2 linked regions of the Nothobranchius furzeri genome follow. The protein of the gene in region 2 interacts with the protein of the main gene of each other region in a pairwise test. Links are inferred from orthologs where the notes say so. Each region holds a gene or a part of one and is shown on either strand. Other genes may lie near its edges. The genes, in order: acbd6 and nmt2.

Region 1 (4,296 bases), on a different chromosome or scaffold from region 2:
CTCAGCTCCTTCTGAACGGTTCTCAGCTCCTCCTTGTCCCCAGATTTGAAGGCTCTCTTTTTCTCCTTTAAGAGAGTTTTGACGTCGGGGTGATCCATGGTTTGGTGTTCGCGAAGCACCGCACCGTCCTGGAGGGAACAGTGTTCTCAAAACAGAAGTTTATGTAGTTTGTGATGCAATCTGTGATGGCGTTGATGTCCTCCCCATGTGGATCACAGAGTTCTGTCCACACCGTGGTGCTGAAGCAGTCCCTGAGAGCCTCCTCACACTCATCAGTCCACCTCCTCACTATACGTGGGGCCACAGCCTGCCTGTGCCGAATATGCTTCGTTGGTGTTGGCATAAAACAAGTCCAGTATTTTATTGTCTCTGGTGGGACAGGTAACATACTGCGTAAATGTGGGCAGAACAGATGACGGAGAAGCATGGTTGAAATCCCCAGAGATGAGAAAAAGGGCCACAGGAGGGGCTCGGAGTAGACCCGCTGCTGCTCCATATCAAGAGGAGCCAGTTGAGGTGGCTGTGGCATCTAGTTAGGATGCCTCCTGGACGCCTCCCTGGTGAGGTTTTCTGGGCACGTCCAATCGGGAGGAGACCTAAAGGGAGACCCAGGACATGCTGGAGGGACTCTGTCTCTCAGCTGGCCAAGGAACGCCTTAGGATTCCCCCGGAGGAGCTGGCCCAAGTGGGCCATATATATGTATGTTTATTTATTTGGCATATTTATTTTGGGGGGGTATTTTTAGGATGTATTTACCTCAAAGTTGAGACCGTAAAGAATGTAAGAAATCAAGAAGAAGAAGAAAATATAATTTCTATAGCGCCTCTCAAGATAAAAATCACGAGGCGCTTCACAAAAACAAAAAAAATATTAAAATATAAAAAAGCATTTAGAAAATGTTTAAAATATATTTAAAATGAGCAAAAATAGGCAATTGGGACTTAAAAGAAAAAATGTTAAGAAAGAGAGAGAGTGAATAGGAAAGAGGGAAATCAGTGGATCCTGAGGAAGGTGGAATAGGTGGGGAGAGCAGAATAAAGAGAGAGTGGTGAAGAAGGTCATACAAAATCGAGCTTGAACAAGTGAGTCTTCAGCTGCTTTTTAAAGGAGTTCACTGAGTCCACTGATCTCAGACTCAGGGGGAGAGAGTTCCAGAGTCTGGGGGCCACAGCAGCAAATGATCTGTCACCTTTGGTCTTTAGCCTGGTGCTGCACAACCAGTAGGCTTTGATCACTGGACCTCAGGGACCTGCTGGGGGTGTAGGGACTAAGAAGATCACCAATGTAAGATGGTGCTTGTCCATGTAAGGCCCTATAGACCAGAACCAGGATCTTGAAACGAACCCTGAAGTTGACTGGCAGCCAGTGAAGCTGGAGGAGAAGCGAGGTGATGTGGGTGTCAACTATGTAACACTGACATCTAGTGGCCCCATCTCTGTTAAACATCCATCTACTTCAGCAGAGGGTAATGAAGTGATACAGCAAACCCAAATTTAAATTAGATTAAATTACAAAGAGAGAATTATTTATTTATCAATGGTTCATAAGATCAATAATAGAACAGCATGTGTTTCAGACAAAGTGATTTAATTAAAATAATTATCCTCACATTGTTAAATCAGGTAGGCTTAAGGAAAATACTAAAAAGGTCATCAAACCTCTTGGTTCTATTCTTAAAACATTTTACTTCTCAAATATCTTTGAGGATTTGAACTATTTGGAATTTATTTCTTTTTTAAAACAAATTTCAGAAAAACGTTTGAATGAGCAGCTCTGGTTCTACCTTTGTGGTGCCTTCTGGGTCTAACACATTGACACAGGTAATGTACTCTCGCATCGCTTGCTCAGCGTCCATGTCTCCAAGCTGCTTCCAGGCTAGCCTGTGGTGAAATCACAAACTCCATCACAATCCTGTTCAACAGTCAAGGGTGTGAGGCTTCATCTGGACCGAGATTTTCTTAAAAGGTCCATTAAAAGGTCAGGAAACTTTCACAATACAATAAAACCAATGATTGGAAAAGTAAAGGTCCTGCCAAAGAAAATCTGAATATAATGGTACATTTTAAGAAAGACTTTTACTTGTTACACCGTTTTATGATTGCATTTCAGGTAAAAGTATCTGGGTACATTTGTGGGTATAAGTCCTTTAAAAGACAACAGGCTAAAATATGACTAAATACTCTCTTCATTTTCACATGTGAGGGAATTATTTTCCCTTTTGTATGCACATGCTACTAATTTAATTTAAAAAATACATAAACTAGAAACTAATTCCTATATTTCAACGAGGCCAGCGAGTTTAAACAACATACCATTTTCTCTGCCCTTCAAAATCAAAGAAACCAGGTTTTGGGGTGTTGCACTTCCCTACTTTGACCTGAAAACAAAACACACACATAATTAATCTGGTTGCTGTCCCATCTGAACCTGGATCACTGTTATAAACATGTTTGGAACAAACACTCCTTCAGAGTATGTGGCTGTAGTTTCATCTGAAGCCACTAGGGGTCACTAACTACGCCAGACGGACACACTCGTATGGTTAAAACTGGTGTTGAAAATGTGACACTCACCTGTTTAAAACGAGCATACAGGTACAGCAGCTGGTCCCTGCTGGCCGTCTGAATCAAGTCTCTCACTCGGTCAGCTGCAGACTCAAACTCCTGCTCCAGTTCCTCTCCCTCCATTTCCTCCGTCATCTCCACGGCACTACAATCAAATTTACTCAAACCCAAGTCCGAGTCCGAGTCTGAACCCGCTCCACCAAGAGGCTCGCCGGTATCGGGCCGCGCTGGATCCGTACCCGAGCCCGTCGCAGTGTCCGGGGAGGACGAGGGTGAACCAGAGGCCATTGTTATTGTTCACAACGCGCTGTCCTATAAACCACAACCACCAGAAATCCCCGAGTGGAAAGCAGCCGCAGAGAAGCTGTCAGATATTTATTTGTAAAAGTATTATTATTATTGCTAATAACGCTTTTAATCCGTTATCGATGCCAGACTCATTTCTACGGTAAGTCCGTGTTTAGTCCTTTCATCAAAAGAGGTCGGCGCAATCTCTAGCCAAGAAGAAAGGTTCCGGAGCTGTGCAAATAAACGCACCCATGATGTGTGACGTATTTCAGGTCAAATCCAGGTCAACTTGAAAAATGGCTAAATTCATATTTTGTATGGTTGGATATTAAACCAACCAGGTTCCAAGCAGAGCTTCAATTTGCAACAAGAAGAAATGGGAGTGAGACAAAACATTTTGACTAGAAATGTACTGAAAATAACTTAAAATCAAGCACGCTGTTTACATGTATGGCACATACAAAATGTGCATTCACACATCTGTTGATGCTCTTTCATGAGGAAGGTTTGTTTAAATTTTTTTTGACACAGTTAAAGGGGAAACAAATTCTGTGTGGAGTTGTGATTATTACGTCTGCTGGGGTGTGACTTTTTGATCAGCTGTAAAACAGCCTGTTTTAGTTTAAGCATTGTTTTCAATAAATTACATGCTCAAAAATGCTTTGTCTCTTTAATTTTTTCTTGTTGATGAATCTCTACTTGGAAACTCGTTAGGATCCAACCATGCCAAATATGTTTCTTGGCCATTTTCAAGTGGTCCTAAACTTTTGATTGGGACTCTGTTTTTTATTTACTTACATTGCACTTCTCCACCATTACATTTGTGTACATACACATAAACAATAAATTTAATTAGGAAATGTTATTGATACACAAAGTTGAAACAAGCAACAGCAGAAATGAGACATCCAAAATTATTAGGCCCCTGGCTATCAATAGTTCCCCCTTTCTAGCCACAACTGACAACAATCTCTTAGAGTAGTTCTTTTCTAGGTTGGCACAGCTCTCCATAAAGATTTTGGTCCATTCTTCCTTTACAATTTGTTGTAGCTGGCTCAAATCACATGGTTTCCAAGCTTTTATTCACTTTGCGCACCCACCACAGATTCTCAGTAGAATTGAGGTCAGGGCTCTGTGTGGGTCAGGATCTTGGTTTTGATGTCCTTAACTGTTGGATATTCATGTATTATTTGGGTCATTGTCTTGTTGGAGCAGCCAGCAATGACCTAAGCCTAGACTACAAGCAGATTTCTGCATGTTCTTCCTCAGATTTTTTTCACGACACTTGTTTCATGACACCAAACAAGGCTCCCTGTGCCTAAACCTGCAAAACAACCCCTCAGTATATGCTCCCACCACTGCGCTTACCTGTGGGAACTGTGATGGTTGAAGGACTCTCTCGCTTTTTCTTTGCCAAACGCAACATCCATTTGCCCAAACAGT
Region 2 (4,387 bases):
TAACATATAATGACTAATGTGTTTTTTTATTTATTCATTCGTTTATTTAGCCAGTGTGAGTCCATTTGTGAGCAGAGTTTCAACTAAAATGCTGTTTAGGAACGACCAAATTCAAAGAACTTGTAGAGACATAAATATTTTGCTGAAAATGAACATTACAACAAAAATATGAACAAATTAAATGTTTCAGCTGGCTAGATTGTTGCCGACCCCACCGAGAACCGAACCAGCATCAGCTGAGGGGAAAGCAAAACTTAAGTCAAACGATCTTGCCACTGGACTACCAGAACCCACATGATGCCGTCAAATGTTGTTGTACAGGACTTTTGTTAGAGCGGCTGTGGGCAGATATTCGCTAAAAGAAACCTTTTCATTTCGGGATATATTCAGACTTTGTCATGTAGCAAGTTATATTTACCTTGTTTAATTGGAGCACAGAACATAGCATTAACGACTGTAAACTAGTAACAGCCGTAATTCATGAGAGTCAGGTTAGTTTGCGATAAAGTTGAAAAACAAAAACGGAAGTCAGTGGGCTAGGCTGAGTTTGCGTGAATGGGCGGGGCTGACTCTGGTGCAGCTCCACCTTATGGTGCAGCTCCGCCTTTGTAGGTCTGCAGCGAGCACCCTCTCTCACGGACCGGGATCAAGGGAAAACGATCAACACAGAAGAACAGCTGATAAAGACGCGTCACACAAACACCTGTGACACCTGTGAAGAAGACTGCAGACGACGGTCGAAACGTGTAAAAGGTAACTAGAAACACCTTCACGTCCGAAGCAAGAGAACCTGTTTAATATTTACAAGGAGGACATAATGAACATTGTAAAGGATTGCAAATGTTTACGATTCACACGTGAACATTTAAAACAAGATCTCTACTTACTACATCTGCATTACCGAGGTCCAGCGTGTCCCACATAAAGCCTTGAGGTAAAGAATATGGCTCCTGTCTGATGTTTTCTTTGTCAGCTTCAATCGGCCCGTGAGTCGTCACAACTTCATCTGCAAAAACGGATAACTCGCAGGTAAAATCCTACCGTCCAATCGCAGCACAGAGTCACTCCCGACATGATACAAGTCACACAAAGCGTCTCACTTTTGTAGAAACGTAACAAGAACAAGACAACAGCTGACGGCATCAGCTGGCTGTGTCCACCAGGCCGGCCTGTGACGGGAGACCTGACTCTGGTTGTCATGGAAACGGTTTAATCTGATGCCACCTAGCACTGAAAAACCCAGAGCCCCACTGTATGCCACAGCTGTTGGGATTATGGGATGGACAGTTGAGTGAGCACATAAAACGTATCAAGATGCCGATGAAAGAAATCAGCTGACTGCAAACACAAGGTTACTGAATAAATCCAGCTTTAAAACCAAAGTCTAACAACTGATTTACATTTAAAAGATTTTCTGCTCTTTTTACCTCGTCAAGATGATTCGTTGGAACTTTAAGTGCTATTTCAACGTGTAAAATAGTGATAATAGGGTTAGACAGAAACACACTTTGCCACGGTCCAATAAAAATCGCTGTTTTCCACGCTACTCGGTTTTAGTGGACACTTACTTAACTTTGGGACGGGCTGGGTGTCCCAGAACTGGTACTTGTGCTTGGCTGCCTCATCGACGCTCCTTGCTGGACCCTGGCAGGACAGCAACTCCATGGCTCTTTGGAAGTACTGCATGTTATGAATGGGCAAGCCAGGGTTCTGAGTTTATGAAATTCGTATTTAAAACAAGAGACAAGACTAGTTAATAAACTGAGATGTCAAACGCTTAAACATGAGAATTACAACCGTTCTGCAGAAACCTAAAGGTGTGTTGCCTGTTTAAGAGGACTGACTGCTGCTGGTTCTCTTTCGTGTGTTTGTTATCTTTAATGAGGAAAAAGCAGCTGAAGTGACCTGTCACTCAGACGCCTGCCTCCCTGAAGCTGTCAACAGGAGCTTATAAACAAAACTAAATAAATAAAGATGAATTGCTTTCTTGTTGACTTTGTTTCCATATAATCAGAAGCTCAGGTTTGGCCTCTGACTTTATGAGTGACTAACTTTGTGGTGAGTGGTGTATCTGAATGTGGTTTCACCTCTAAATGACCAGGTGTGTCCTTTAGGCTTTGGCTCGAACCTCACCCCCCACCCACTAATGACAGCTTCCTTTAGGCTCTGGTTGAGATCATCCCACCTTTATCTCCTGAGAATCGGACGCAGAGTCAGATTTGGCTCCCCCCGAGCTGGGCTTCTCTTTTTTCCTCTTCTGTTTCTTCTTCTTCCTCTTGGCCCCCAGGTCTACCCCCGGACTGCTGTAACGACCAACACAAACGCGCAGAGCTAACCCTTAGCTGCCATAGCAACGACTGACAGCTGAGCTACTTGCTGTTAGCCGGGTTTGCCCCAACACCGATGACATTCAGGTTGGACCCTGGCGGCACGTAACACTCACACCGGCTGTTAATAAAATCAAACACACAAAGCCACACACACTCTCAGAACAACACGCCACACTTTAAAGCAGCCTGTTAACCGTTTGGTTACGTTTGTGTCCGCTAACGTTAGCTAGCTAGCTGCGCTAGCCGCTCGGAAAGGCCATCCTCACCCCTGCATTAGCTCGTTCTCCTCCTCGTTGTCCCCGTCTATCCCGCATGTGTCCTGGTCGTCCAGCTCCAGGCTCTGCTGACTGGCCGCGGATTCACTGTCCTCCGCCATGGGAAAAAATGTTTTAAAACAGCGAGCCGCCGTTTGGGAGGGCTCGGACAGCGGGCGAGATGGAAAAAAAACAAAGAAAATGTCGGAGGAAACAGCGCCGCCTGGACGCCATAGGAGGGAACGCAGAGATGAAGTCCGTAGAAGAGTTTTAAAACCAGAATTAGCGCGATTATAATCTCCAGATTTACCTCCAGATTCTATTATTTCTGGGTTCAGGAAAAGTCGACTGAACTTTGAACTTGAGCTTTATTAATGCGAGCTGGTTAACAAACCAACCACGTGATCAAAACAGTGTCATGGTTTGATTTTAACTTGCACAGGTTATGTAACTGCTGTTGCTGTTTATTTCTTCATTTCTTTTGAAAGGTAAAGTCCTTTAGGTTTTTTTAAATCCACAATTTTACACATTCTAAACATTTAAATTAGTCAGAACAAACATAAAAACAAAGCCACAGCGAAGAGGATGTTCAATAAACACCAGAACTAAATGCACTAGATTGACATCCCTTAAAGAGCAAATCATCCTCAAATCAACCGGTTTTTTTTCTGATAAACTATATAAATGCGTGTCTAATCGTGCTGCAGACACGTGTAGTCAATAGTTTTGCACTTTAGTGCATTTTCCGGAACTGCGCTGCTCTGGGTGGCTGCATGTTGGAGTAGCTCTGTTGACTATATGTAAGTTTTGCCTTTTTTGGACATTTTTTCCTCTAGTTTCTCAAAGAAACTGTATCTTTTTGACATTTTACTTTTCTGTTTCTGGTGCTGTGAAGCTTAAGAGGATTTTTACTACAATTTATTCTCTTTTTTCCACTTTTTGAGCATTTGTTATGATGCGTAACCATGGTAACAAACTGGTTTACAATCGGGAGCAGCGCTAAAACGCAAGAAGCGTGGGTGCAGAGCAGGAGCAAAACAGAGACAGAGAAAACGGAAATTCAAACCATCTCTTCCATCGATCATAATGGGCAATGATAAATCAGGTGCTGGTCAGCATCAGAAGCAGGGACCTGAAAAGGCTCAACAGCCTAATAAAAAAGGCTGGTTCTGTTCTGGGGACGACTGTGGAACCGCTGGAGGAGATAATGCAAAGAAGGATTCTCCAGAGAATCAAGAACATGATGGACAACCCTGAGCGTTCTCTTCACAAGACTGTCCGACAACGGAAGAGTGTCTTCAGTCAGAGGCTTCTTCAGTTTGGCTGCAACACTGACCGCTACTGGAGATCCTTCCTGCCAACAGCCATTGTAATATACAACAACTCTTTGATGACTTGATTATTATTATTATTCTGAGCTACTACAGCAATCAATTTCCCTCTGGGATTAATAAAGTATTTTTGAACTGAAATGAGTTAAAATTTTAATTTTTTTGCCCAAAACTGTCAGTGTTGTGCCGTTGCCATGGTAAAAACTCTGCACTGCATTTTAATTTAAATCTACCATTGCAATTAGCTAAGAGGTACCCTAGAATGTTAGCTGGTACCATATGATGTCACAATGTCATTGTGAGCCTGTGTGTGTGTGTCTTTGTTAGCTGCTACACCCTCTCTGCTAGGCAACAGCATTTGTTGCATTTTTCAAACAGGAAGTGGGAGTGGAGTAATACTCTGGTAGGGGGTGACTTGCTGTTTAATTAAAGGAGGGTTTGTGTTTAAAGAGTAATTCACCCCCAAATCAAC

The links.
Region 1: the proteins of nmt2 (region 2) and acbd6 interact in binary tests that used the Homo sapiens proteins (3 or more experiments, as listed by UniProt). The link is inferred for Nothobranchius furzeri from reciprocal best matches to the Homo sapiens genes NMT2 and ACBD6.

What each region holds. Positions count from the first base shown.
Region 1 is NC_091748.1:57,395,683-57,399,978, forward strand, and holds the start of acbd6 (acyl-CoA-binding domain-containing protein 6), read right to left. Parts: upstream 3,068-4,296; 5' UTR 2,854-3,067; coding exon 2,575-2,853; intron 2,379-2,574; coding exon 2,314-2,378; intron 1,882-2,313; coding exon 1,785-1,881; intron 1-1,784. UniProt on the Homo sapiens protein: Binds long-chain acyl-coenzyme A molecules with a strong preference for unsaturated C18:1-CoA, lower affinity for unsaturated C20:4-CoA, and very weak affinity for saturated C16:0-CoA. Does not bind fatty acids. Plays a role in protein N-myristoylation.
Region 2 is NC_091745.1:79,248,064-79,252,450, reverse strand, and holds the start of nmt2 (glycylpeptide N-tetradecanoyltransferase 2), read right to left. Parts: upstream 2,929-4,387; 5' UTR 2,707-2,928; coding exon 2,597-2,706; intron 2,304-2,596; coding exon 2,186-2,303; intron 1,711-2,185; coding exon 1,569-1,710; intron 1,007-1,568; coding exon 888-1,006; intron 1-887.